3 linked regions of the Stegostoma tigrinum genome follow. Each later gene encodes a partner of the first gene's protein in a complex. Links are inferred from orthologs where the notes say so. Each region holds a gene or a part of one and is shown in the gene's direction. Other genes may lie near its edges.

Evidence for each region.
Region 2: lamtor4 (region 1) and lamtor1 share a complex: the UniProt entries of both Homo sapiens proteins name them as parts of the ragulator complex. The link is inferred for Stegostoma tigrinum from reciprocal best matches to the Homo sapiens genes LAMTOR4 and LAMTOR1.
Region 3: lamtor4 (region 1) and lamtor3 share a complex: the UniProt entries of both Homo sapiens proteins name them as parts of the ragulator complex. The link is inferred for Stegostoma tigrinum from reciprocal best matches to the Homo sapiens genes LAMTOR4 and LAMTOR3.

The regions. Positions count from the first base shown.
Region 1 is NC_081398.1:4,438,156-4,448,541, reverse strand, and holds the start of lamtor4 (ragulator complex protein LAMTOR4), read left to right. Parts: upstream 1-5,675; 5' UTR 5,676-5,801; coding exon 5,802-5,804; intron 5,805-10,386. UniProt on the Homo sapiens protein: As part of the Ragulator complex it is involved in amino acid sensing and activation of mTORC1, a signaling complex promoting cell growth in response to growth factors, energy levels, and amino acids.
Region 2 is NC_081359.1:110,906,513-110,916,581, forward strand, and holds the start of lamtor1 (ragulator complex protein LAMTOR1), read left to right. Parts: upstream 1-5,698; 5' UTR 5,699-5,792; coding exon 5,793-5,834; intron 5,835-10,069. UniProt on the Homo sapiens protein: Key component of the Ragulator complex, a multiprotein complex involved in amino acid sensing and activation of mTORC1, a signaling complex promoting cell growth in response to growth factors, energy levels, and amino acids.
Region 3 is NC_081354.1:4,149,812-4,159,349, forward strand, and holds the start of lamtor3 (ragulator complex protein LAMTOR3), read left to right. Parts: upstream 1-5,009; 5' UTR 5,010-5,044; coding exon 5,045-5,053; intron 5,054-5,776; coding exon 5,777-5,811; intron 5,812-9,001; coding exon 9,002-9,060; intron 9,061-9,538. UniProt on the Homo sapiens protein: As part of the Ragulator complex it is involved in amino acid sensing and activation of mTORC1, a signaling complex promoting cell growth in response to growth factors, energy levels, and amino acids.

The DNA.
Region 1 (10,386 bases):
TTTGCAGATAATTTAATTAGAAACGCTGAGCAGTTTGCTGAGGAAAAGCTTAAAGCAAAAGTTGACTTTGATCAAACTTACTGTCATACATTGCTGAGACAAACTGATGATAATTTACTCCTTGGGAAATATGGCAACTTTCGCATGATTAATACCTTTGAGGTGGATCTAAAGTTGCATATGTGTGGTCGTGTTCTGCCAATTTTCCAAAAGATGCACCAAGATTTCTTCAGAGAGAATGATCCACTGGCTCGTCTGGAAGAAATGAAGATTGCCTACTATTCCACTTTTAAAGATATTTACAACGAGAAAGATCAGAGTCAGAAAAGGGCTCCAGCTCTGTGGAGCGACTGCCTTCTGCCAGATCTTCACAATGCCATTGACAAAAAGCTTGGTGTGGAGATTGTTGAGGGCGTAAAAGCCAGCTGCACAAACCACGAAATGAGCAGCAGAGCTTATCTCCAAGCTGTGATTCTACTGGACTTGCTGGAAGAGCACTGTGTGGAAAATTACACATAATACATTGAAGACTATGAGGATTTTGCAAGACAGTGGATCAGGAAAAGAATAATAAAGAATTACAGAGAAGCAACTAAAATTATGGAGATCGTCGCAAAAATAATCCGAGCACTTATACAAAAGATAAAAGATGCCATAAAACAAGCAGTAAGTGGAAAGAATCAATTGTGACAGTGAAGGAGAGCGTATCAGAATTTTTAACAGAATTTTGTGATATTTTGAAGAATGATTTTGTGATTAACAAGGGGAATTTGCAAATTGTACTCTTTCAGAATGCTAACACAGCCAGCGAGTTTGCAGCTGATGTCACTGCAGCCCTGGATGATGTCGAGCAGAAACTCATATCAGACTTTCACAAGAATTGCAACATCGAAGAAATTCTGCCACGTCTGCCAGTGCAGCTGGATGAAGAGATCTTCCGTCAAGTTCTTGGCTGCGGGAAGATGTGCCGGTTCTGCGGAGTGTCTTGTGAACAAGGAGGCTCGGGACACAAGGAGCATTTTGCTGCAACACATCGGCCTGAGGGACTAAATAGGTTTCGCCATATTACCAGCAAAAAGCTGGTGGCGACAGTGTGTAATTCTGCAATAGCATCCGATGCTTCATTCCGCTGTGCAGCAACACAATATGAGTTCCATCCATACAAAGGCTACCGCAGCGTAAATGATTATTTTGCTTCCTGGAATATTCCACCTGACACAAGTATCCAAGCATCAGCCTACTGGAAATACGTCCTGTCTACTTTTAATACAGAGTTTTCAGAAGCTTACAAGGCCAAAAAAGCTGACATTCCTGTAGACTGGAAAAATATAAAAAAGGAAACTGTAAGAGCAGAAATTGAGAAAACATACAATATGTTTAGGGTAAAAGAACTGAAATAGTTAGAAACACAGGATGGTCACACGTCCACTTTTAATACCATTAAAAGTATTAACTCCAGTTTTACATGAGGATTCTCATCGTTACTCAGGATTAAATGAGTTAATGAATTACAAAATCACGAAGCAAAGAATTTCAAGGTTGCATGAAGAATGCCAGTGAACTGAACTGTCTAGTCTCCTACAAAAGAGACAGTTGCCAATCTAGGGAGGGATAATGTACTGGTCAATGTTGTCTGAGTGGCTACAGTTTGCTTTAAATATATTTCTTAGATTGTAGTTGAAGTAGCCAGACTAGAAACAATGATTAAATTAGGATAGATTGCAGTAAGTGGAAAGAATCAATTGTCATATTTCTGAACTCTTATTGTATTATCCTACAACACGTGAACATATTCAATAAAGTTTGTTATGCGTTAATTTGTGTCCTGATTAGCTCCTTTTTCTGAGACAACAAGGTGTAGAGCTGGATGAACACAGCAGGCCAAGCAGCATCAGAGGAGCAGGAAGGCTGACATTTCGGGCCTCGACCCTTCTTCAGAAATGCTTTTCTGAAGAAGGGTCTAGGCCTGAAACGTCAGCCTTCCTGCTCCTCTGATGCTGCTTGGCCTGCTGTGTTCATCCAGCTCTACACCTTGTTATCTCAGATTCTCCAGCATCTGCAGTTCCGACTATCTCTCTAGCTCCTCTTTCTGTCCTGTTTGCTTAACGCATTCCTTCTGTTACAAAAATAACTCACAGCTACAATTTAACTACAATTGTTGGGATGTTGTAGACAAGCATGTCCACCCATAATTGCCCTCAAAGTGGTGGCAGTCTGATTACTGAGGGTGAGGTACAGAGAAGAGTTACGAATATGCTGCCAGAAATGAAGAATTTATTTGAGGAAAGACTGGATGAACACAAGAAGTATTCTTACGTATATAGAAATAATATATAAGCATTACATACTGTGTTAAAGTTGATACATTAAATATGAACATAAAAACAACTCACTGATTGATATCTACAGTTAAATTGCTGGATAGTTTTAACCATATCCTTGCTTTTATGCACTTGTTTTCTTTGGACAGAAGAGGCTGAGAGTTGATTTAATTGAGGTGCATAACATTATTTAGATTTATTTAATATTGTCACACTTACCTACAGTGGAAAGTGTTGTTTTGCAAGTTATCCACAACATGTCACCACTCTGCAGTGCCATCTCGGATCTGTTTGCATTGCATGCTTTTACTGCAATAGCTTTGGTATTTTTAGGTTCAGCTGTTCATCTTCTCATTTGGCTCTCCTTCTTCTTTCTCTTTCTCAGCTGCTCCTACAGTTCCTGCTACTTTAACATTGGCTGGGGTCTTGGTAATGGGCTTCTCCACCATATCTGAGTGCTGCTGAGGTCCTGGTTCTGGGCACATCTTCTGCCACTGCTCATGCGGCATATCCGAGCTGGAATGGGTCATGGGCCTGGTGCTACACAGGGCCCTGCCTCTTGCAGAAGGATGTGACCCCAAGGCAACCAAAGAGGGGAGAACAGTGGAGATTGGGAGATAAAAGGAAAGAGACATAATAAAAAAAGGGCCTACTTCCCTTAGCAGACCTGTCAAGAATCCAGAGCTGTAGCAATTTGTTAGATTGGAGAAGAGTTGAGAAGATATTTACCCAGAAAAGTGTGGATATGGAACTCTCCATCTAAAAGTTCTGTAGTGAGGCATAAATTCACTTTGCATTTAAAATAAAATCTTTTTGGATGCGCACTTGAAGCGCTATACGCTACACAGCTATGCTGACAGGGCTGGTAAGAGAAATTAGGCTGGGTGATCCATCTTGGTTGGCACACAGATGATGGGCCATATGGAATCAGTCTGCTCAGTAAAACTCTTGTTTGTGCCTGTCTTTTTGAAATGTCACAGCCCAAGTCATGAAAGTATTCTAGCTACTGCTGAGTTTTGGCGAGTTGCCTGAAGTGCATATTGTAGATGGTATACACACATTGCAGTGGTGGAGGATGTCGATGCTTAATGAGTGTTAATCAGCAGGCTGCTGGTGCTGATAAGAGAGCTTGTACAGAAGCACCTCTCTCTAGAGAAAATGATACTTCACTCCATTTTTGTCTTGTGCATTGGCAGGTCAGTAGCTGAACCTGCAAATTACCACACCTGATCCAGTCTAGCAGCCACATCACATATCTGCCTGATGCAGCAAAGTTTCTTGTGCAGGGTAATCACAGTTTCTTTCCAGTAAATAATAGTAGTGCCATTTAAACATTATGAGTGGAAGGGGTTGGGGTGGGGTGGAGAATGGGCTAAGACAGTATTGGTTATGATTTAGTGTGATTCTGGGGGAACAAAGCAGGCCAGGCAGCATCAGAGGAGCAGGAAAGCTGACATTTTGGGTCGGGACCCTTCTTCAGAAATGGGGTATTTCAAGAAAGGGGTCCTGATCTGAAATGTCAGTTTTCCTGCACTTCTGAGGCTGCCTGGCCTGCTGTGCTCCTCCAGCTCCACACTGTGTTATCTCCAGCATCAGCAATTCTTACTATCTCTCTTGGTTATGAGCTCAATTGGTAGAATCAGCCTGAAAACTTACAGGACATGAATGTAATTTGTCGCTTATCAGGCCAAACATAGATGGTGTCTTTTTCTGCATTAAGGGAAAGAGTGTGTCTTAGGAATGCATTCATGCATGCACTGTTTCGTTAACAAAGGGACTGCAAATGATGCTTTCCAGGCTGCACGAAGGGACTCCTGCTGAAAAGTCTTGGGCTTGAGATCATGATTAGAAATCACAACTATGTTAGACGGAAAGAAAATAGGAGCAAGGGTAGGCTATTTGACCCGTCAAGTCTGCTGTGCCGTTCCTTATGATCACCCAGTGCCCTGTTCTCGCTCTTTCCTGTCCCCCTACCCTTCGTGTCTCCCTGTGTTCTCCGCAGCCACGTAACTTGTACCACTTCAAGTGTGCACCCAGAAGGATTTTATTTCAAATGCGACGTGAGTTTCTGCCTCACGACAGAACTGGTAGGAAGAAGTAGGTATCAACGCTTTTCGGATGGCTTGTGTAGGCGTTCTTCCTCGGCTTTGCGCAGCCCCAGGGTGTGTTTCTTGCGGCTGGCTTTGAACGGGGTTTTTGATGCGGCCCTGTTTGTGGGCACTTTGGGGACGATTGCTACTGTACTTGAGGGCCCTGTCTGTGCCGGTGACCTTCCTGTGTCCATTGGCCTGGGGTTCGCCGTTGGCCTGACGGTTGACCACTGTGCCTGGGAAGGGGGTTCTGTTATTGTTCTGCTCCTCCTCCTTGGTGAATTATATGCCGGCGAGGATGTTGTTTATGGGTTTTCCTCCAGTTTAGAGCGTTTAATAACGACAAAGGTGTCGTCCACACATGGTTTTGGATGGTCGTCCGCTCCACTCGACGCCTTACGGCTTCCGCTATTCACCCTGATACCGGTGATCCCATGGGTTATTCGGTTGATTTGTCCCTGTACCTTGCCGTGGAGCAAATTACTTCACGACGACAAAATTAATCAAGAGAAATAAATCTAAATGGATGTCATGGAAGAGACTGAGGGAACTCAAGCCGATCACATCAGGAGGGCGGGGCCGACCGAAGGGAGACTGACGGCCGGACGGTCCAACCAGAGTGTTGCGGGCCTATCGGTATTCACCAATCGGACGAAGGCAACGCTCTGATTGACGTCCCATCCAACCAAACGGACGGCCACAGGGGCCTTTTGACCAATTGGCTTGGAGGATAGCGGAGGTGGGAAGGGGGGTGGAACGCCCTCGCGGCTAGCGGTTGGGGACGAGGAGGGCGGGGACATGCGCGAAGTGGGAAGGGCGCGCGAGATCAGAAGGCGGGGAGGAGGACGAGTTCCGTTCAATCAATGACGAGAGCGCTGGCGGCTGCATGTCATGTGATATACGGAAGCGGCGTGACGTTGGATCATAGGAGACGGTGATAGCCGGAACCATGGACCAATAGAGGAGACCTACAGTCCAAAGGACGGGGACGAGAAGTAGGCGGGTTATTTGACAGATGATGGACGGCTGTGTCGATCAATCAGCGGTTAGGATGGTCGATACTGTCCAATCGCCTGTGACGGACAGATTTGGGGGTTGTACCCAGGTCATGTGGGACTGTACGTGGTGTGGGTGGGACGCCGGCTCAGTGATGATAGATGGCTATGCTGACCAATCGAAATGAACGGCGTAGCGAAGCCGTCCAATCACCCAGGTCGCGGTGGGTCGTATATGATAATTTGGTTGACTGACAGAGGAACAGACCAATCAGAAACCGTCGACTCCCGGCATAAGCGAACGAGGAACGGTGGGGGTGTGGGAATCTGAGTGTCATGTGACGCGGGCTTTAACCGACGGGCGGAGGCTGAAGACGTGCCCGGGCTCTGTCTCGATGGTGAGTACGAGCTTGTTGGGTAGCGGGGTGGTTTAAAAAAAAACACACACAACATCCACCCGATTCGTGGTGTACACTTTCTCCCGGGGGTGGCTGGAAGCCGTTAACCGCCTGTCACCTGTCATTCCCCGGGTGACTGGGCCCGGGAGGTCACAGGTCACGGCCATTGGCCATTTCCCCCTGTTTTAAAACTAGGACGGGCCCTGGTCTAAAAATAACCCAAACCGCTTGAATTCAAACATTGCAATTTGTCATTTGCACCGCATGGAATCGTTTGCATTGCATTGAACGCGCTGATGATATTCAGCATTTGCTTGCACGCTTTGGGTGGGCGATAGTCAACTGTTTACAAACGAGGGAGGGAGGCAGCTGAAGAGGCGAGATACTTCCATTCTTGAGATGGCGTCTGCCCTGGAGATTCCTGTGGACAAGTTGGGGCGCTATTTCTGGCACCAAACAGTCCATGAATCCAGGCTTGAGGGGCCGAGGGGCCGAATGGCCTGCCCCACCCCCCTCCCTTGTTTCCTATAATCCTAAAATCTTAGGGTATGCCACCACCCTCCTTTCTCACCTTCCCACCCACTTTCTTTTTGTCTGCAGTGTTCAGTGTGTGGCCTTCTGTTGTTGACTTATACATTCAGCAGGTGCCAATCTCTGAAAGTTCCTGCCTCAGAGTAGGTGTGAGGTTGGATTGGGGTGGGATTAGTGTACAGGTAAGAGTGCGGAGATAGTAGGAATTGCTGATGCTGGAGAATTTGAGATAACACGGTGTGGAGCTGGATGGACACTGCAGGCCAAGCTGACGTTTCGGGTCGGGGCCCTTCTTCAACGATTCCATGCGGTGCAAATGACATGGAGAGTGTGGAGAAAGATCAACTCAAATATTGGAGAGGTCTTAAGTCTGATAACAGTGGGGAAGAAGCTGTTCTTTTAAATCTGTTCGTACAAAATTTGTTCTATCTTCTGCCTGATGGAAGAGAGTATAACCAGAGTGGGAGGGGTCATTATGTGGGTTGCTCTCCCGAGGAATTGGAATGTGTGGATGGAGTCAATGGATGGAAGGCTGCCTTGTGTGATGGACTGGACTGTGTTCACAACTCTGTCATTTTTCTTTTGCGGTCTTGGGCAGAGCTGTGATGCATCCAGATAGAATGTTTTCTCTTTTGCATGGGCTGTGGGGTGGGGAGACCTAAGTTTGGTCAGTGATGAGTTAGGTTTAAGTTTTTAATAGCTGTTAGCAGGAATTGGAACAGATTTTTAATCCTCCTAGTTCTTAAAATCAAATCCTGGGTAACTTTTTTAACCTTGAGTAAATCTCAACCTTCTGACTTCTTCAGTGAGCTCTTTCAAAGGGTTCCAAATTGGGAAAATCTGGTTTTCTAGGCAATTCCCACAGAGCCAGGTGCATCTGGGATTTTTGCACAGTCCTAACCTGCAGCTCCAGTCTATGTTGCTGTAGCAAGCATTTGGACATGGGACTACCTGTGTCAGAGAGAACAATAGCAGGTGTAGATTTCCAGGGGTTGGGAGAAAGATGTGACAGCAGTTGATGAGGAATTTTTTTTGTTTAACCTACTATGTGGTGAGAATCTGTAAACTGCTGTCTGTTAGGCTGGTCTAGGCAGAAAGCCTCATCACGTTTCTAAGAGATACTAGAATGTACACCTGAAGCAGCACAACCTGCAAGACTACAGACTGAAAGACTGTGAGATTGGCGATGACTTCTAAATGTTCCCTCAACTCTTTGACCACTCTTTTGGTCATTCGGTTAACATCCCCTCTGTTAGCTTGGTGAAAGACAGCGCTTTATAAAGCGTTATGAAGCACCATGAGATGTTTTATCGAACTCTGAAACAGTTACAACATAGAAAGAGGCCTTTCAGCCCATTGCATCTGTGCTGGGTCTTGCCCAGACACCTCCCCTCCCTTGTCTTTTTCCCCGTGAACCTGCATTATTTGCCCTGTCCTCTTTGAAAGCCGCGACGCTGCCAGGTACCACGTTCCCAATCCCAACAACTTGCTGCGTTTTTACGAAAGAAAGTTTCCTTTCCTTTCCTTTCCTACATCGCTCGTCCTTTTCCCAGTCTCTCTCGGTCTCCATCTGACAGAGAATGTGAGGAAATATAGGAGCAGGAGCAGGAGAATGGGCTGAATGGCATCAAGCACTGCTATTCACCTCAATCTTGGCTGAATCTCCACCTCAACCGATTTCCCGACACTATCCCAGTAAATAAAGTTATAAGAAACAGGAGCAGGACTGGGCCGTCAGGCCCCTCAAACCTGCCCTGCCATTCGATTAAAATCATGGCTGATCTTTTCGTGGACTTACTTGCCCGCTCACCATAACGCTTAATTCCTTTACTGTTTAAAACTCTTAATTTTTGCCTTAAAAACATTCAACCATGTACCCTCAACTACTTCTCTGGGCAGGGAATTCCACAGATTCACAACCCTTTGGGTGAAGAAGTTGCTCCTGACCTCAGTCCTAAATCTGCTTCCCCCATTATTTTGAGACCATGCCCCACACGTTCTAGTTTCACCTGCCCAGTGGAAACAACCTCCCCACTTCTATGTCATCTATTCCCTTCATAACTTTATACGTTTCTGTCAGATCCCCCTCGTTCTTTTAAATTCCAATAAGTACAGTCCCAGTCTAATCAATCTCTTCTCATAAGACACAGGAGTGGAAGTAAGACCATTCGGCCCGTCAAGTCCACTCCACCATTTAAATCATGGCTGATGGGCATTTCAACTCCACTTCCCTGCACTCTCCCCGTAGCCCTTGATTCCTTCTGAGATCAAGAATTTGTCGATCTCTGCCTTGAAGGCATCCAATGTCCCGGCCTCCACTGCACTCCGTGGCAATGAATTCCACAAGCCCACCACACTCTGGCTGAAGAAATGTCGTCTCATTTCAGTTTTAAATTTACCCCCTCTAATTTTAAGGCTGTGCCCATGGGTCCTAGTCTCCCCGCCTAACGGAAACAACTTCCTAGCGTCCACCCCTTCTAAACCATACATTATCTTGTAAGTTCTATTAGATCTCCCCTCAACCTTCCAAACTCTAATGAGTACAATCCCAGGATCCTTAGCCGTTCATCATATGTTAAACCTACCATTCCAGGGATCATCCGTGTGAATCTCTGTTGGACACGCACCAGGGCTAGTATGTCCTTCCTGAGGTGTGGGGCCCAAAATTGGACACAGTATTCTAAATGGGGCCTAACTAGAGCCTTACAAAGCCTGAGAAGCACATCGCTGCTTTTATATTCCAACCCTCTTGAGATAAACGACAACATTATAGTCGCTTTCTTAATCACGGACTCTACCTGCAAGTTAACCTTTAGAGAATCCTGGACCAACACTCCCAGATCCCTTTGTACTTGTGCTTTGTGAATTTTCTCACCGTTTAGAAAATAGTCCATGCCTGTATTCTTTTTTCCAAAGTGCAAAACCTCGCATTTACTCACATTGAATTTCATCAGCCATTTCCTGGACCACTGTCCTAAACTGTCTAAATCTTTCTGCAGCCTCCCCACCTCCTCAGTACTACCTGCCTGTCCACCTATCTTCGTATCATCAGCAAACTTCGCCAGAATGCCCCCAGTCCCTTCATCCAGATCATTAATGTATAAGGTGAACAGCTGCGGCCCCAACACTGAACCCTGCGGGACAACACTCGTCACCGGTTGCCATTCCATTCAAGAGCCTTTTATCCCCAACACTCTGCCTTCTGTCAGACAGCCAATCCTCAATCCAAGCCGGTAGCTCACCTTGAACACCACGGGCCCTCACCTTGCTCAGCAGCCTCCCGTGAGGCACTGTATCAAAGGCCTTTTGGAAGTCTAGATAGATAACGTGGGTTTCCCTGGTCTAACATACTTGTTACCTCTTCAAAGAATTCTAACAGGTTTGTCAGGCACGACCTCCCCTTACTAAATCCATGCTGACTTGTTCTAATCTGACACTGCACTTCCAGGAATTTAGAAATCTCATCCTTAGCAGTGGATTCTAGAATTTTACCAACTACCGAGGTTAGGCTAATCGGCCTATAATTTTCCATCTTTTGCCTTGATCCTTTCTTAAACAAGGGGGTTACAACAGCAATTTTCCAATCATCTGGGACTTTCCCTGACTCCAGTGACTTTTGAAAGATCACATCCAAAGCCTCTGCTATTTCCTCAGCCACCTCCCTCAGAACTCTAGGATGTAGCCCATCGGGGCCAGGAGATTTATCAATTTTTAGACCTTTTAGCTTTTCTAGCATTTTCTCTTTTGTAATGCCTACTGTACCCAACTCTGCCCCCTGGCTCTCCCTAATTGTTGGCATACTACTCATGTCTTCCACTGTGAATTCTGACGCAAAGTACTTAAGTTCTTCAGCTATTTCCTTATCTCCCATCACTAGCCTTCCAGCATCAATTTGGAGCGGCCCAATGTCTACTTTTGCCTCTTGTTTGTTTCTTATGTATTGAAAGAAGCTTTGACTATCATTTCTAATATTACTAGCTAGCCTACCTTCATATTTGATCCTCTCCTTCCTTATTGCTCTCCTTGTTATCCTCTGTCTGTTTTTGCAGCC
Region 2 (10,069 bases), on another chromosome or scaffold:
GGAAGGTGAGGGATGTGCTGGAGATGGCCCAGGTGAACTGAAGGTTGGGGTGGAAGGTGTTGGTGAAGTGGATGAACTGTTCGAGCTCCTCTGGGGAGCAAGAGGCGGCGCCGATACAGTCATCAATGTACCGGAGGAAGAGGTTGGGTTTGGGGCCTGTGTAGGTGCGGAAGAGGGACTGTTCCACGTAACCTACAAAGAGGCAGGCATAGCTGGGGCCCATGCGGGTGCCCATGGCCACCCCCTTAGTCTGTAGGAAGTGGGAGGAGTCAATAGAGAAGTTGTTTCCCTGGCCCCCAACACCTCATCTTCACCATGGACGTCCAGTCCCTGTACACCTGCATTCCGCATGGAGATGGCCTCAAGGCCATCCGCTTCTTCCTGTCCCACAGGCCCGACCAGTCCCCCTCCACCGACACCCTCATCCGCCTAGCCGAACTCGTCCTCACCCTCAACCACTTCTCTTTTGACTCCTCCCACTTCCTACAGACTAAGGGGGTGGCCATGGGCACCCGCATGGGCCCCAGCTATGCCTGCCTCTTTGTAGGTTACGTGGAACAGTCCCTCTTCCGCACCTACACAGGCCCCAAACCCAACCTCTTCCTCCGGTACATTGATGACTGTATCGGCGCCGCCTCTTGCTCCCCAGAGGAGCTCGAACAGTTCATCCACTTCACCAACACCTTCCACCACAACCTTCAGTTCACCTGGGCCATCTCCAGCACATCCCTCACCTTCCTGGACCTCTCAGTCTCCATCTCAGGCAACCAGCTTGTAACTGATGTCCATTTCAAGCCCACCGACTCCCACAGCAACCTAGAATACACCTCCTCCCACCCACCCTCCTGCAAAAATTCCATGCCCTATTCCCAATTCCTCCGCCTCCGCCGCATCTGCTCCCACGACAAGACATTCCACTCCCGTACATCCCAGATGTCCAAGTTCTTCAAGGACCGCAACTTTCCCCCCACAGTGATCGAGAACGCCCTCGACCGCGTCTCCCACATTTCCCGCAACACGTCCCTCACACCCCGCCCCCGCCACAACCGCCCAAAGAGGATCCCCCTCGTTCTCACACACCACCCCACCAACCTCTGGATACAACGCATCATCCTCCGACACTTCCGCCATCTACAATCTGACCCCACCACCCAAGACATTTTTCCATCCCCACCCCTGTCTGCTTTCCGGAGAGACCACTCTCTCCGTGACTCCCTTGTTCGCTCCACACTGCCCTCCAACCCCACCACACCCGGCACCTTCCCCTGCAACCGCAGGAAATGCTCCACTTGCCCCCACACCTCCCCCCTCCGCCTATCCCAGGCCCCAAGATGATATTCCACATTAAGCAGAGGTTCACCTGCACACCTGCCAATGTGGTATACTGCATCCACTGTACCCAGTGTGGCTTCCTCTACATTGGGGAAACCAAGCGGAGGCTTGGAGACCGCTTTGCAGAACACCTCCGCTCAGTTCGCAACAAACTACTGCACCTCCCAGTCGCAAACCATTTCCACTCCCCCTCCCATTCTTTAGATGACATGTCCATCATGGGCCTCCTGCAGTGCCACAATGATGCCACCCGAAGGTTGCAGGAACAGCAACTCATATTCCGCCTGGGAACCCTGCAGCCTAATGGTATCAATGTGGACTTCACCAGTTTCAAAATCTCCCCTTCCCCCACTGCATCCCTAAACCAGCCCAGTTCGTCCCCTCCCCCCACTGCACCACACAACCAGCCCAGCTCTTCCCCTCCACCCACTGCATCCCAAAACCAGTCCAACCTGTCTCTGCCTCCCTAACCTGTTCTTCCTCTCACCCATCCCTTCCTCCCACCCCAAGCCGCACCCCCATCTACCTACTAACCTCATCCCATCTCCTTGACCTGTCCGTCTTCCCTGGACTGACCTATCCCCTCCCTACCTCCCCACCTACACTCTCTCCACCTATCTTCTTTTCTCTCCATCTTCGGTCCGCCTCCCCCTCTCTCCCTATTTATTCTAGAACCCTCACCCCATCCCCCCCTCTCTGATGAAGGCTCTAGGCCCGAAACATCAGCCTTCCTGCTCCTCTGATGCTGCTTGGCCTGCTGTATTCATCCAGCTCTACGCCTTGTTATCTCAGATTCTCCAGTATCTGCAGTTCCTACTCTCTCTAATATGGATGTGTTGTCCCAGTCAGATTTGTCTTCTTCTTTGTCTGTGAAGTATGAGACAAGTGAGAATAGGTCGTGTCTCTTGGTGGCTAGTTGGTGTTCATATCTCCTTAATATCAGTTTTCTTCCAGTTTAGCCAATGTAATGCTTTTCACAGTCATGGTTTTTTGTATGTTATGTTAGTTTTATTGGTTGTCAGTACGGGGTCCTTTATGTTCGTCAGTAGCTGTCGCAGGGTGGTTGCTGGTTTGTGAGTTACCCTGGTACCTAGGGGTCTGAGTCCACATCATTCAGAACCCTCAAAGATTTCACCCGAGGTCAGATGCAGGTTAAATGCAGCAACAAGAAACAATGTTAAAAACATTCATCAGATGAGAGAAAGAGAAAATGAGAGTTGATATTTCTTCTCTCTGAGGGTAGTGAATTTGTGGAATACTTTCTTGCAGAGGGTTGTTGAGGCTGGGTCATTCAGTACGTTCAAGGCTGAGATAGACAGATTTTTAATCAGTAAGAGATTTGAGGGTTATGGGGAAGCGCGAGAATGTGGATTTGAGGATTATCAGATCAGCCACAATCTCAGTGAATGGTACAGCAAATCCAATGGACTGAATGGCCTATTTCTGCTCCTACATCTTATGATCTTATCATAAATCATAGAATCCCTTCAGTGTGGAAACAGGAAATGCTGTGGACTGACCAACAACACTTACATCCTGTGTAGAGCAAAGAAAAATTCTATCTGTCACTTATAGAACATAGAACATAGAAAAGTACAGCACAGTACAGGCTCTTCGGCCCACCATGTTGTGCCATGGAATAATCCTAATCCCAAAATAAAATAACCTAACCTACATTCCCCTCAATTCACTGCTGTCCATGTGCATGTCCAGCAGTCGCTTAAATGTCACTAATGACTCTGCTTCCACGACTACCACTGGTAAACTATTCCATGCGCTCACAACTCTCTGGGTGAAGAACCTCCCTCTGACGTCTCCTCTACACCTTCCTCCTAATACCTTAAAACTATGACCCCTCGTGGCAGTCAATCCTGCTCTGTGCAAAAGTCTCTGGCTACCGAATCTATCTATGCCTCTCATTACCTTGTACACCTGCCCAATCTGCAAACCTCTCTCTCCTCCTCATCTCTGTCATAAATGTGTGACCTTTGGCAGTATAGACTTGAAGAGCCGAAGGTCCTGTACTGTCTGATTCTATAACTCCTTAAACTGACATGCACCCACCACTTAATCATGTTGCTGGAGCCACACATAGGCCAAACTGGGAAAGGCAGACCACATCTTGAAAGGACATTCGTGAACCAACTGGAATTTTATGACCATTGATAATAGTTCCATGAACACCATCACTAGTCAAGATTCCAGATTTATTAATTGTTCATTTAATGGTGCAGGCACGATGGGCTGAATGGCCTCCTTCCATGCCAATAACAATTCTGTGATCCTGTGTCTGCCTGAGTCGAGACGTAGCCTCATCACTGTCTTGGCAACATTGATAGATTATGAAGTTTTCAATCAACAAATTAATTTTAAACAGCAATTAAAAAAAGTGATACTTGAACAGGTGAGTTTTGAGAAGATTTGTAGCTCAGGTTGAGTTTCTGGATATGAGTTTGCTCGCTGAGCTGGAAGGTTCGTTTTCAGACGTTTCGTCACCATTCTAGGTAACATCATCGGTGAGCCTCCGACGAAGCCTTTGTCGGAGGCTCACTGATGATGTTACCTAGAATGGTGACGAAACGTCTGAAAACTAACATTCCAGCTCAGCGAGCAAACTCACATCCAGAACTTGAACAGGCCTTTGGAGACCACCACAAGCTGTCATTTACAACAACTTGTTATTTTGACTGTCCACCCAAGAAGCAACTGCAAGAAATGAGTTCTGGAACCAAGAGCTTATGCTGCAGCTGTACAAAACTCTGGTGCGGCTGTACTTGGAATATTGTGTACAGTTCTGGTCACCGCATTATAGGAAGGATGTGGAAGCTTTGGAAAGGGTGCAGAGGAGATTTACTAGGATGTTGCCTGGTATGGAGGGAAGGTCTTACGAGGAAAGGCTGAGGGACTTGAGGCTGTTTTCATTAGAGAGAAGAAGGTTGAGAGGTGACTTAATTGAGACATATAAAATAATCAGAGGGTTAGATAGGGTGGATAGGGAGAGCCTTTTTCCTTGGATGGTGATGGCGAGCACGAGGGGGCATAGCTTTAAATTGAGGGGTGAAAGATATAGGACAGATGTCAGAGGTAGTTTTTTTACTCAGAGAGTAGTAAGGGAATGGAACGCTTTGCCTGCAATGGTAGTAGATTCACCAACTTTAGGTACATTTAAGTCGTCACTGGACAAGCATATGGACGTACATGGAATAGTGTAGGTTAGATGGGCTTCAGATCAGTATGACAGGTCGGCACAACATTGAGGGCCGAAGGGCCTGTACTGTGCAGTAATGTTCTACGTAACTTTACAAAATAAGAGCGCATGGTATTGGGAATGACATATTCTCATGGATAGAGGATCAGTTAATGAACAGGAAAAAAAGATGGCTGGATTTTCACTATAATGGGATCTTGGCATTTTTCCACATGGGCATTTTGCAAAGCTAACAATCCTGAGAAATCAGTAACTGTCCATGTCCCTGTGTGAGTTAGCGAACAGTGTCTAAAGCACAAAGTGCTGAGATGTGACCAAGCAGGAGCAGGTCTGAATTTTATGAGTTTGTTTGGATAGCTAGAGAACCCTCTTACAGTCGAATGATGTTGATTGTTGGGGAAAACCAATCTGGTTCCCTCATGTCCTTTAGGGAAGGAAACTGCCATCCTCACCTAGTCTGGCTAACATGTGACTCCAAACCCACAGCAACGTGGCTGATTCTTGACTGTCCTCATGAGGGGAGTGGATAAAAAAAAGGATCAACTGATGAAAAACTGCTGGAACTGTCTACAACGAAGAGAAGGTTGAGAGATTTGATCAAGATCTTCAGATCACATAGAATCCAGGGAGAACTAGCCATTTGGAAACAAAATTGTCCTGAAGGTAAGTGACAGAGGGTAGTGGTGGAGGGCCGCTTTTCGCACTGAAGCCTTGTGTAACCCCTATGCCTCTGTCCAAGTCTTTTTGATCTGTATGTACATCCTTGCTTACCATGATCTGCCTGTACCACTGGTAAACAAAGCTTTTCACTGTAATTCAGCACACGTAACAAACAATCAATCAGCATCCAGAGGTTTTCACATGGGAATGGGATCATTATCTGAACAGGAAGAAGCTGCAGGAATCACTCATGGGGAGAGATAGCACAGACACAATGGGCCGAATAGGCAACTAGGCTTGAACTCTGACCCCAACTGAGGATCAATTTACGAGAAAATGGCACAGGATGATTGACAGACCAACCGGATCTGATGTCATAGAGGGGCGGTTCCCATTATGATCGACAGACCAAAACGGTTGAGAATTGAGGGGCTAGCGATGATTGACAGTCTGCGGCGGAGATGACGTCGGCAGTTGGGCGCTCGTCCGGGTGATTGACAGTTCGGGTCGGATGTGACGCAATGGTTGCTAGGCCCGATCATGTGATGGTGTAAATAGGGAGCCCGCGGCCTGCGCTCCTCTGGTTCCCACCATGGGCTGTTGTTATAGCAGTGAGGGCGACAGCAGTGAACAGGTGAGGATCACCCTTCAGTATAATCCCCGCGTCCGCCTTCTCCTTAAAACACCCGGCAAAATCACCTGGAAACTCATTGAGTCCCTTCAGGGCTGGTGTGGTGCAGCCTGACCCCTCCTTTTGGCCTGGGGGGTGTGGTGGTGTGTGGGGTTAATCCCCCCTCCCCCTGCATTATCCTGGATTGGAGGGTTGGTGTGCGGGGTTAACCCCCCCGCCACCCCTTTGCCATTATCCTGGATTGGAGGGTTGGTGTGCGGGGTTAACCCCCCCGCCACCCCTTTGCCATTATCCTGGATTGGAGGGGTTGGTGTGTGGGGTTAACCACACACCAGTTAAAATGATTTTAACTCCCCCTCCCATTCTCTTGACGACATGCCCATCATCGGCCTCCTGCAGTGCCACAATGATGCTACCCGAAGGTTGCAGGAACAGCAACTCATATTCCGCTTGGGAACCCTGCAGCCCAATGGTATCAATGTGGACTTCACCAGCTTCAAAATATCCCCTCCCCCCACCGCATCCCAAAACCAGCCCAGTTATTCCGCTCCCCCCCCAGTGCATCCCAAAGCCAGCCCAGCTTGTCCCCGCCTCTCTAACCTGTTCTTCCTCTCACCTATCCCTCCCACCTCAAGCCGCACCTCCATTTTGTACTTACTAACCTCATCCCGCCTCCTTGACTTGTCTGTATTCCCTGGACTGACCTATCCCTTCCTTACTTCCCCACCTATACTCTCCTCTCCACCTATCTTCTTTTCTCCATCTTCGGTCTGCCTCCCCCTCTCTCCCTATTTATTCCAGTTCCGTCTCCCCATCCCCCTCTCTGAAGAAGGGTCTAGGCCTGAAACGTCAGCTTTTGTGCTCCTGAGATGCTGCTTGGCCTGCTGTGTTCATCCAGCTCCACACTTTGTAATCTTGGATTCTCCAGCATCTGTAGTTCCCATTCCCATTATCTCAAATCAGCTCATTGTTGCCTTGCAGAGCTGATGTCACTCACTTATTATACTCTAATTCTGCTGAACAAGAGTTTCAAATTCTTGTCTTGGACATCTACAGTTCCCAAAACCAGGATGTGGTGTGATTTACTTGTTTCAGTGAAACTAAAGAAAGATTGCCTAATGCTAGAATATATTGTTCGGCCAGGTGGTGATTGGCTAGCACAAACAGGATGGGCCGGATGGCCTTTTTCTGTCCTGTCAACTGTCTATGACTAAGCAGTTTTTGTATTTCTGTGACACAAATGAAGCATTTCCTCCAAGGTAGTCACCATTGCAAGATAAGAAATGAGACCAGATTTGTGTATGCTAAGATTCCTCACGAGAATTTCATTATGGCCAGAAAACTTTTTTTATTGTGCTTGGTCCTTGGTTTAACATTTCACCTAAAAGGTGGTGTTACTGAATGCATCACTCTCTGATTACTGCTCTTGGGTCATTGACTGATTTTATATTCAATGATGTGGAGAGGGACTGGAAGCACATTCTTCTGACAGAAGGTAGGACACTATCCATGGAGTCATAACTGGCCTTGTTGAGAAACCCAACAAAAAGTAGGAATTCCACCAAGTTCGGAACAGGCTTGAAGTGGTGAAGCCCGAGGAAAACTTATTCATATCCTTGTTCATAATTTACTGATCTCAAGCAGGTACAGCAAGTAATTATGACAATAATAGTATGTTCACCTTTTATAACAAGATTATTAGATTACAGGAGTCAAGATGCCTGCCTTGCTTTAATTGTATAGAGCTATGATGAGACTTTACCTTAACTGTTCATGTACAGTTTTTCTCTCCTTATTGAAGGAAGGATGCACACAGGGGGAGTGCAGTGGAGAGTCACAGGATAGATTGCTAAGATGTTGAGATTGTCCTGTGAGGAGAGTTTGAGGAGACTGAGTATGCTGTGGAGTTTAGAAGAATGAAAGGTGAAACTTAGAAAATCCTTTTTATAAGGATGAACAGAATAGATGTAAAAAAAGTTTCTCTCTACTCTAGGGTGTAATCCAGGGGAAAGTATCTCCGACTAAGGGACAGGTCACTGAGAATGGAGGGATGGGCAATGAATGCTGTCCCAACGAACAATGCCCACAGAATAAGTGAATAAAATGATTAAATGCACAAATTGATAGATTTCTAAATATTAAAGATGTTGCAGATGATATGTAATTTGCAGGAAAATGGTGTTGGTGTAGTGAATCAGCCATGATCTCGACAAATAATGGAGCAAACTTTAAAAGCTTCATGACCAATCTACCTATTTTATCTATTCTTAATCATTAGAAAGGTTATAGTACAGAGTCCATTCGGTCATTTGTGTCTATACCTTCTCCCTGGAAGAAGATATTAGTCTGTGGGACTCCACCATCTTTTCCCCATAGCACTGTAAACCTTGCCCCTTCAAGTGCACATCTGGTCGTCCTATGAAAAACGTGATTGAATCTGTCTCCACTATACTGTGTCTCCCAGATCCTAACCACTTCTTGTGTAAGAAAGCTTTCTTTCATACACATTAGGAGCTGATTGTGGGCAACTTGGCTTCTTGAAGCTATTTCACTGTTTGCTTTCTCATAAATTCCATCATTATCCTCCACAATTTGGTGTTTGCAAGGTTTGAATCATACGCAGTATTTGAAATTTTGCTCAAGGCAGCGAAGTCAACAACTCTAAATGTGTCAAAAGCAGTAGTTGGGGACTGACCCTGGGAATTCCCACCATGAGCCACTTTCCAAGACACAATAGAACTGTTCACCGTTAAACCCTCTTTGCTGTCACTCAGCTGAACTTGTATCTATTTTTCTGTGATAACATGTGGTGGTAGAGGAATACAGCATCACAGGAGCAGGAAAGCTGACGTTTTGGGTTGAGACCCTTCTTCCGAAATGGCAGAGAGGGAAGCGAGCTGGGAAGTAAATAGAGAGGAAGGGTTGGAGTGAGGTAGGGGAAGGTAGGTGGGCTGGTGATAGGTGAGTGCAGGTAGGCAGTGGTGGAGATTGGTCAGTGAGCTGGGAGGAGGAGCAGATAGGTGGCAGAGAAGACGAAGGTTGTGTCAGGTCAAGGAGGCAGGGATGTGAGGGAGGGTTGGTAATGGGATGCGGCCGGAGTGTGGGGAAATTTTAAACTGGTAAAAGCCATGTTTAGGCCATTGGGCTATGGGCTGCTGAGGTGGAATGAGGTGCTGCTCCTCCAGGTTGTGGGTGGTGTCATTGTGACGCTGGAGGAAGCCCAGGATGGACATGTTGTCCAGGGGGTGGGAGGGGGTGTTTGTGGTTCGAGACTGGAATGTGTTGTCGTTTCTCGCGAACAGAGCGCAGGTGCTGTACAAAGTGGTCTCTGAGCCTCTGCTTGGTCTCACCAATGTAGAGGAGGCCACATACCGTCTTCCATTTATCTGTGGCCTGTTTTATTCCATGGGCATCAACTTTGCTGACCAGCCTGTGTTTTGTAGCACTCATTGAAATTCCTTTTTGAAGTCTGTGTAGCTGTTGACCCTGTTTGTCACCTCTTTAAAACCTCAAATAAGTCAATGCACAATAAAATCAAAATTGCTGGAAATGCTCATTGGGGCTGGCAGCATCTCTGGAGGAAGAGTTGATGTTTTATCAGAACAAAACTCAATTTGCCTTTGACAAATTCTGCCAGCATTCCTAATTTATCCACAGTGTCCTGAATGTGTTAATTTTGTGCTGGATTATTGTTTCTCATAGCTTTCCCACCTCCAGTGTTAAGATAACTGACCAGTAATTGCAGGACTTCCCTTTAAGTCCCTTCTTGAGCAAGGGTGTAGCATTTACAGTTCCTCAGTCCTTTGGCAACACCCCTGTATCTAGAGGGGTGGAAGATTATTGCAACTGTCTGCAATTTCCTTTATTTCTCTCCTTGATTGTGGACATACCTCGTCCTGGTAAATGACTTCTAATACTTCCTCTTCATCAATTTTAGCTTGTTTTGTCACAACTGTCTTCTCTTTTTTTCATTCTTACTCTCTGGCAGCATTTATTTTCCTTTGTAAACAATGACAAGTGACCTACCTATGCCCTTGAACTTCATCACTAAATTTTTGGTCACCCTTTCAGTCTTCATGAGCCTGTCCCTCTTGTTTTTGTTAGCTGCTAGTCTTGTGTTAACTCTCTGCTTCAAAGATGTAAAAAGGGAGACAGAGACCAAAGGCGCCTTTTGGAGAATAAGCCTGGGGAAATAATGCAGGTGGGGGTCGGTCTCTTGTTAAAATTAAATAAGCCAT
Region 3 (9,538 bases), on another chromosome or scaffold:
CCCCCCTCCCCAACCCCCCCCCCCTCCCCAACCCCCTCCCCTCTCCCCCGCTCCCCCCCCTCTCCCCCTCTCCCCCCCCTCCCCTCTCCCCCCCCTCCCCCTCTCCCCCCCCTCCCCTCTCCCCCCCCTCCCCTCTCCCCCCCCCTCCCCTCTCCCCCCCTCTCCCTCTCCCCCCCCTCTCCCCTCTCCCCCCCCTCCCCTCTCCCCCCCCTCCCCTCTCCCCCCCCTCCCCTCTCCCCCCCTCCCCTCTCCCCCCCCTCCCCTCTCCCCCCCCCTCCCCTCCTCTCCCCCCCTCCCCTCCCCTCTCCCCCCCTCCCCTCTCCCCCCCCTCCCCTCTCCCCCCCCTCCCCTCTCCCCCCCCTCCCCTCTCCCCCCCCTCCCCTCTCCCCCCCCTCCCCTCTCCCCCCCCTCCCCTCTCCCCCCCCTCCCCTCTCCCCCCCCCTCCCCAACCCCCCCCTCCCCAACCCCCCCCTCCCCAACCCCCCCCTCCCCAACCCCCCCCTCCCCAACCCCCCCCCTCCCCAACCCCCCCCTCCCCAACCCCCAACCCCCCCCTCCCCAACCCCCCCCTCCCCAACCCCCTCCCCCCCCCCCCCCCAACCTGACCTTGGCTTCAGTTCTTGAGCAGTGCTGCTCCTAGGGTGTGCTGAACTGTTAGAGGTGCTGTCTTTTGGATGAGCCACCCACCCAACCCTTTCTCTGGGAATAATATTTGGAAGAGGAGCAGCAGAGGTCTCAGCAGTATCGTCCTGATTGTTCACTATCAAATTCGCATCACTGTGTGAGGACTTACTTCAGTCGTTGTTGTACAGATGTTTGTCGAGTTTGCTGTCAAGAAGTTGTCTGCTCTGTTACATTATCTTTGTTGCTCCACAAGTACTTGTAATCTAAACAGCAATGTCCTGATTGAGGATGTTGGAGATAGGCTCTGTCATGCTTTCAGAGAAAGTTGGATAATTGGAGAATAAGTGTCTCCTATTGTGGGGAACATGTAGGGAAATGCAATTACTCCATACAAAAGCAGTTGGTATGGCCAGGCAAATGGACTTTTGTAGATAACAAAGTGTGAAGCTGGGTGAACACAGGCCAAGCAGCATCTTAGGAGCACAAAAGCTGACGTTTTGGGCCTAGACCCTTCTTCAGGGGGATAAAAAATAAACCTTTTTTTCTGAAGAAGGGTCTAGGCCTGAAACGTCAGCTTTTGTGCTCTTAAGATGCTGCTTGGCCTGCTGTGTTCACCCTGCCCCATACTTTGTTGTTTTGGATTCTCCAGCATCTGCAGTTCCAATTATCTCTGATATTAAGTGGACTTTTGTGCTGAGTTTTGATTCTGTGACTTTTAACTGTGTACGTTACAATAGCGAGACTTCAAAAGTATGTTAGGTGCTGAAAAATTTTGGGAGACATCCTGAGGCCATTCTTTCAAGTATCCTGTTCTTCCAACAAATCTCCAAATGTAGTAACTTTCTCCTCTTCCCCACTCACCAGTGATTTTTAAATGTTGCTGACCCACTCAGCAGAAAAAAACAGCCATCCTGTGAGATGTTTGAGATAGTGAGATGTGTTGCTTTTGCTTTCGCTTCATCTTCACTGTCAGACCACCACAGTGATGGAGATTCCCCCAAAGAAAGGAATTAAAAGCAGTTTTCCCACCATTCTCTACAGCTTTAGTTTTAGCTTTCAGGTTTGTGTATTTGGTAAGTATTAATGTCTTTGACAATCTTTGAAATTGTACTGAAATGTCAAAAGTCCAAAGTCAGGAAATCAAAAAAATGAAGCAGTAATGGACTGCAGAAAGACAAAGACCTATAAAATGAGTAGACAGTGACAACTAAAATTTAACAAAGGGGGACTACTTTCCTGGGAGTGACCTTTTTATAGGGGTTTGTAAAACAATGCGGGGCCCTGTTATGGTGAATAGCCAAGGTCTTTTCCCTGGGGTAGAGGAGTCCAAAACTAGAGGGTGTAGGATTAAGGTGATAAGGGAAAGATTTAAAAGGGACCTTAAGGCTGTGAGTGTGTGGAATGAGCTGCCAGAGGAAGTGGTGGAGGCTGGGATAATGACAGTATTTAAAAGGCATCTGGATGGGTGTATGAATAGGGAGGGTTAGAGAGAGATAGGCTAAATGCTGGAATTGGGACGAGATGAATTCGGGGTATCTGTTTGCCCTGGGTGATTTGAACAGAAGTCTGTTTCCATGCTGTACAGCTCTATGACTGTAGAATGGCAATATAAAGCTAGTACAATTTCAACAACTGTTAAATTTTTTTGGAAGGAACAGTGACACCTTGGAGGGAGTACATATATCATTGAGTGGAAGAGCAAGTGCAGCCAAAGTACATTCAAAGTTTGACCGTGCAAAGAGGCAATTGGTAGAAACACTAAACATTTTTAAAAAGTCCCAATCCTAGGTAATATACTTTTAGAAAGGGTGCTAAAGTTTTGGAATTACAGACGTCATAGAGTTGTACAGCATGGAAATAGCCTGTTTGGTTCAGCTGGTCTGTGCCAACTAGATAACCTACACTAATCTAGTTCCACGTGCCAGCATTTGGCCCATATCCTTCTAAACCGTTCCTATTCATGTATCCATCCAGATGCCTTTTAAATGTTTAATGGTACCAGCCTCCACCACTTCCTCTGGCAGCTCATTCCATGTGTGCATCATCCTCTACACGGAAACTTTGCCCTTTAGGTTGTCCTTAAATCTTTCCCACTTCACCTTAAACCTATACCCTCTAGTTTTGGACTCCCCTAACCTGGGCAAAATACCTTGGCTGTTCACCCTATCCATACCCTTACAATTTTATAAACCTCTATAAGGTCACCCTCAGTCCAGGGAAAATAATCCCACTCTATTCAGCCTTCCCCTAGAGCTCAAAGCTTCCAACCCCAGCTATGTCCTTCTAAATCTCTCTGAACCCTTTCAAGTTTCGCAACATCCTTCCTGTAGTAGGGAGACCAGAGTTGAACAAAGTATTCTAAATGGTCGAACCAATGTCTTGTACAGCCGCAACATGACCTCCCAACTCCATACTCAATGTACTGACCAATAAAGGCAGGTGTATCAAATGTTGCCTACGTTATTCTGCCTTCATCAGTCTTTGCCACTTCAAAAAAAAGCTCAGGCAAGTTAGTGAGACATGATTTCCCTCGCGCAGACATGTTGGCTATCCCAAATTGGTCCTTGCCTTTCCAAACATACGTAAATCCTGTTCCTCAGATTCCCCTCCAACAGCGCACCTACCACTGACATCAGGCTCGCCGGTCAGTAGTTCCCTGGCTTTTCCTTGGAGCTAATCTTAAATATTGACACCACGTTAGCTCACCCACAGCTATTGATGGCAGCAGAGTTCTGGTGTACACACCGAATCAGGTTCTGGGGATTCATCTGCCTTAAGACATCCAGCACCACGACATCAGTAATGTGAAACTTGGTGTTAAGCATGATAGACTTCATGATGGAGAAGCTGGGGAATTTCTTCAAGTAGAAAAGGTTAAAAGTTGATTTGACTGCAATTCCGATTCCACTCAAGTCTTGAGCTTGTGATTGACAGACAGTCCCAATGCAGTGCGAACGGAGTGCTGCACTGTCGGAGGTATATCTTTTGAATGAGACAAAGTCAAAATACAGTCTTTACCCTCAGGTCAGGCAACTCTTGAGGAATAAGAATTTAGAAATTAGTTTCAGATCAGGGGATTTCTATTCTGATGGAGAAAGAGAAAGAGGTTCTTTTACAAAATGTGTTTGGGTTTTATCATTTTAAGAATTCAATGGCTTGGTAACATATTTCTCAAAAGCAGTTTATGTTATCGTTTTCTTATCAGTGGTGGCATAGATTATAACAGTGGGGGGTGTTCAAGTTGGAGCTGTTCAGAATTTTTGATAGGCCATAGCTGCAGTTCTGGTCACCTCGTAGGATGTATTTATGCTAGAACAGGTACAAAGGAGATGCACCAGCATGTTGCCTGGAAGGGAGCACTTCAGCTGTGAAGAGAGGCGAAATGAACTCTGGTTGTTTCCTTTGGAGCAGAGAAAGTTGCGGGGGGGGGAATGCTGGGGGAAACATTATAGAGGTGTATAAGATTATAAGGAGCATGGACAGAGTGGGTAGAAAGCAGCTGTTCCCCTCATTTGAAGGGTTAATAACTGGGTGGGGAGATGCATAAATTTAACATGTAAGGCTCGATGTTCAGAGGGGATTTGAGGAAAAGCTTTTTCACCCAAAGGGTGTCTAGAATGCACTGCCTGAGAGGATAGTTAAGGTGGGAAGCCTCAACCTTTTTAAAAAGAAATTAGATGGGAGTTTGAAGTGTCAAACACTTTAAGGTTATGGATCTTGTGCAGGAAAGTGTAGGTAGTATATTTCTAGCAGGACAGACATGATGGGCCAAATGGCCTCTTCTGTACTGTATGATTGTTCTTCAATATCCAGGGACATTGCATGCTCGGCAAATTCTTTGTTGCCCTAGGAGTTGGTCACTTTCATACAGTTGCACATTGTAGATTTTAGAAAACTATTTGGAGTAATTGTATCAGAGAGAATGCGAACTGCAGATGCTGGAGAATCTGAGATAACAAAGTGTGGAGCTGGATGAGCACAGCGGGCCAAGCAGCATCTCAGGAGCACTTTTGAAACTGTCATTCTGTTAGCTGAATAACTTTAGGACTGAAAAGTGTATTAGTGCAAAATGAAGTGAAAGCTCCCCTAGTTGTATGTGTCTTTAGTAAAATGCGTTCAGGAAGCAGGGATTTGAATGGTGAATATGGTGGCTGAAGCATGTGGGAAATTCAGCAGCAACATCAAACCATTGGATGCAGAATATATTCTGTTGTTCAGAACTAAATATTCCGATTTTTCTGATATTAAAAATTTTACATTCCTTCACTCCACATGCTCTGTTATAGCATGTTTAATTAGCATATTAAATTGAGCATGCCTTTGCTTATTTTAGTAAGTATCAAAAGATAAAGCCCCGTTTAACACAGGTTTTATGGTTTTGTTTCAGAATTGAGTTTTCTCTGCAACATTTTAAAGAAAGATGGCAGATGTAAGTAATCCTTTCTTAATTACGAAAAAATTGCGTATACTGTTAGGCTACCTATATTGTAGTAAGTTTGAACAGCATATGGAAAATGCCTTCTAATAATTAAGCTGACTAGTACAGTAAATATGATACTACAGTAAGTCATGCAGCCAGTTTCGTAGACAAGGTTCTGTTTGCATCTAAAAATGTAGTGAATAGCATCTGTGGATCCCATGAGCAAGACGTTCTCTTGTTTTATTTCCTAATTATTCAAAAATTAAAATATTAGGCTGTCATCTTCTGTTGGTCTATTTAAGCTTGCTTTGAGCAGAGTTTTCTACAGTGTGCATGCGACTATTGGGCCTGATACCCATAATGCGAGGTTGAAATTTATTTATTGAACATGTGAAAGTTTAATGTGGGTGTGAGTCTTTCCTCTTAGCCTCCTTTCAGCACAGCCTTTGAAAGAGGAAGGTATTATTTTGTGTATATAGGATCTTGCTGTTGAATACTTCATGCGTGAAGGTGAGTGTTAAATAACTGTAACCAGTTGAGACTGGCTTGAATTAAATTTGGATGCAGTTGACATTTTTAAACAATTAATTAAAAATAACTTCATGGCAGTTCTAACTGCCAACTGTTACTGGCGCAGTTAAAGGTTTGAACTTCAATTCATATTCAAGTTGAAAATGTGCAGTATAATTCTACATTTTTACTGCATTCTTCTAATGTGTGTCTTTTCTACAGGATTTGAAGAGATATCTTTACAAACAGTTGCCTAGGTGAGAATGTAAAATAACCCTTCCTCCTCTTCAATCTGTTTCAATTTCTGACTCTCTTCTTTAGATAAGTTTAGACTAGTAACTTTATGTCCAAAATACACAGTAATTCCTCTACTATTACACTGTATATTTCTTAATCGCAGATTTTTCACTCTTCCTTTTATCTTCTAATCTCCTCTTTCCTACAAGTCTGTAATATTATTTCTGGTTGAATAGCAAATATCTTTTCAATATCAATAAATAGCAAAAGAACTGCAGATGCTGTAACTCTGAAACAAAAACAGAAGTTGCTGGAAAACCTCAGCAGGCCTGGCAGCATCTGTGGAGAGAAATCAGAGTTAACGCATTGGGCCCAGTGACCCTTCGTCAGAACTGATAGTAGCTAGGAAAGTGTCGGTTTATGTGCAGAACAGCGTATGTGGAAAGGAGCATTTGATAGTTGGGGATAGAGCTCAAAGACACTAGAACAGTTGAACAGACAAAGGAGTTGATAACAGTCAGGCTGGGAGGGTGAATAGCTGTTAATGGGGACTGTTCGTGACTAACAACAGGTAGTGTGTAATGGCAGGCTATGGGGCTAGGACCTGGGAGAGCTTCTTTTTCTTAGATTAGATTCCCTACAGTGTGGAAACAGGCCCTTCGGCCCAACAAGTCTACACTGCCCTTTGGAGCATCCCACCCAAACTCATCCCCCTATAACCCCCACACCCCTGAACACTACGGGCAATTTAGCATGGCCAATCCACCTAATCTGCACGTCTTTGGACTGTGGGAGGAAACTGGAGCACCCAGAGGAAACCCACGCAGACACGGGGAGAACGTGCAAACTCCGCACAGACAGTTATCTGAGGCTGGAATCGAACCTGGGTCCCTGGCGCTGTGAGGCTGCAGTGCTAACCACTGAGCCACCATGCCACCCAGTTCAGACCTTAAAATTGTTGAATTTGATATAGAGTCCATAGGGTGGTGTTCTTCCAGTTTGTGTTGAGCTTTGCTGGAACACCGCAGTAAGCCTGCGACAGTATTGATAGTTGCTTCCAAACATATGTCTGTTAAGTGGCATTTGGCAATTTCCTCACTATCTCCCACTTCAAGTTGTAATATGCTAGACGTTGTTTCATCTGCAAGTGCCGATGGGTTACTATTGTTGGAAAGCCAGCTTGGAGATGTCTCTAAACCAATGATCAAGTGTGGTGAATGTGCCGTGTAGATATCAATGTTAAACAAACACAATGGGGCATTGTGTGGCAGTTGCTGAGTTTGCCTTCAAACTCAGGCCACGATTAGTTCTCTGGCTCTGTCCTATTTTATTTATGGTAATCTTGCTTTATAAGCTCAGTTGAAAGACTAGTCTGTCACCATCTTGACCTTAATTCTTGGTTTTGCAGCTAATGTATATCAATCAAGAATCTTAGAGGGTTGGTCTCATAACAGAAGCTGCACTTTGCAATCTAAAAGGGTAGCAGTACGGTTACGAGGTAGATAAGACATGTCTATTTGATGCAAGTTAGCCCAGGTTATTTTCTGTGGCAACAGTCAATGCGTCTTTGAAGATTTGAGCTGGTCAGTTGACATTCTAAAGCAGTGTCTGATTCAGTAAGTTGTTCAAACTTTTGTTTAGTTTTAGGTCTTCAAGACTTCATTGTAAAAGTTTTTTTCTTATTGTTCCTAACGCACTTGCTGCTATTGTTCTAAAGAAACTTCATTTTTAATGTGTAATTCCTAAAGATGGTACATGGGTGACATTTATCCAAAATGTAGACTCCACTAATGGTGGTGTGCCATTATTTTGTTACGTCAGTTTGATGAATAAATACCATTTGTTGAAATGTGAGCTGTTTAATTTTGTTAGCATAAGCAAAAATAAATATGTTGAAGGTATGGATTCAGAGAATGGTATTAAAAGTGACACTGCTTTAATGCGGACAAGCTCTGTGTAAATGTAATCTCTTTTAAATATGACAGCCTTAAATTGCTGTGTAGCTATTGCAGTATGGAGTATATATATTGTTTCCTTACTAGCTGTACCGCTACAATTAGGATCTCCCATGGTGAGTGCGTGTTTGACATAATGGCTGTGAATTTGTAACCGATTAATTTATAAGGAATGGAAATTGATTGTTATCACATTGACATGAATACATGGCATAATTCTGCACAGCCATTTTAGATCTAAAATCAGACTTAATAGACAGGATGTAAAAATGTTTTATACACAGGTATTGCATGAAATAAGAAATTACATGATGTTTGCAAGAGATGAATAGTGAACAAATCTGAACAATAATTGTGTTCAGATGAGTCATACAGCACAGAAACAGACCTTCAGACTAACTCATCCATGCCGACCAATTTTTCCCAAACTAAACTAGTCAGATTTGCCTGCATTTGGCCCAAATCCCCCTCAACTTGTACAAATATCTTTTAAATGTTGTAACTGTACCTGCATAAACCTCTTCCTCAGGCAGTTTGTTCCACATACAAACCGCCCTGTGTGAAAATGTTACCTTTTGGGTGCCTTTTAAATCTTTCCCTTCTCACCTTAAAATTATGCCCCCTACTTTTGAACTCCCCTACCCTGGGGAATAGGCTTTTACTATTCACCTTATCTATACCTCTCGTGATTTTATAAGCTTTTATAAAGTCCCCCCCACAGGCTCCTAGATTCCAGTGAAAAGAATCCCAGCCTATCCAACCTCCAAACTCAAACCCTCCATTCCTGATAATATCCTGGTAAATCTTTTCTGAACCATCTTCACTTTAGTAATATCCTTCCGAGAGCAGGTAACCAGAAATGTACACAGTTCTCCAACATCCTGTACAACCGCAAAATAATGCCCCAATTACTGGATTCATTGGTCTGGGCAATGAAGGCAAGCGTGCCAAATGCTGCTTTTCCCACCCTGTCTACCTGTGCCACAACTTCCATGGAGATGTTGGCTTCTGGGATATGTGGGTTTTGCTGAATTTTCAAAGAGCTTCAGGAAGCCAAGGAAATGTTAAAATATTTAAAGAATTTTTTTTGTTAATGCTCAACATTATTGTGAAATTGGATTCTCAGTACTGTGGGTGTTCTCATTACAATCTTACAACAGAAAACTTCCGTGTAATTTCAGTGCTTGCGCTATTTTGAATTCCAGTGCCAGTGTAGAGATGCAGCGTGAATAATTTCTGCATAATTTTTTTACAGTGTTGAGGGCCTTCATGCCATTGTGGTATCTGACAGAGATGGAGTACCTGTGATTAAAGGTAAGTCATAGCTGCTCAGTAAACCTACTCTTACACACAATTATCAGTAATTGCATCATGTTCCTGAGGATTGCACTCTTAATTTGAATTGGTTCCTTGTTTGGAAGATCTAATACAATCCCCCACATTTCAACCTAAGCGATACTGGTTCATAAATCCCATTCCATTAACTTTAAAGCGCACTAGGTATGGATTTCAACTTTGACAGCAAGTGCAGTACTGTTATTATAAATGCATTTATGTGGTGTCTCATTTCCTTGGTGCTTTGCAACTAATTAGCTACTTTTGAAATAGCCATTATGTGAGAGGTACAGAAAAGTTCACAGCTAAATAACTTGTGTTGTTCGAGGGAGAACTATTGGACAGGAGGCAGGAAATCATAGAATCCCTACGATGTGGAAGCAGGCCGTTAGCAATAGTGAACAAATTTGGCCTATAGAGTTTGCACTGACCCTCCAAAGGGCATCCCACCCACTAC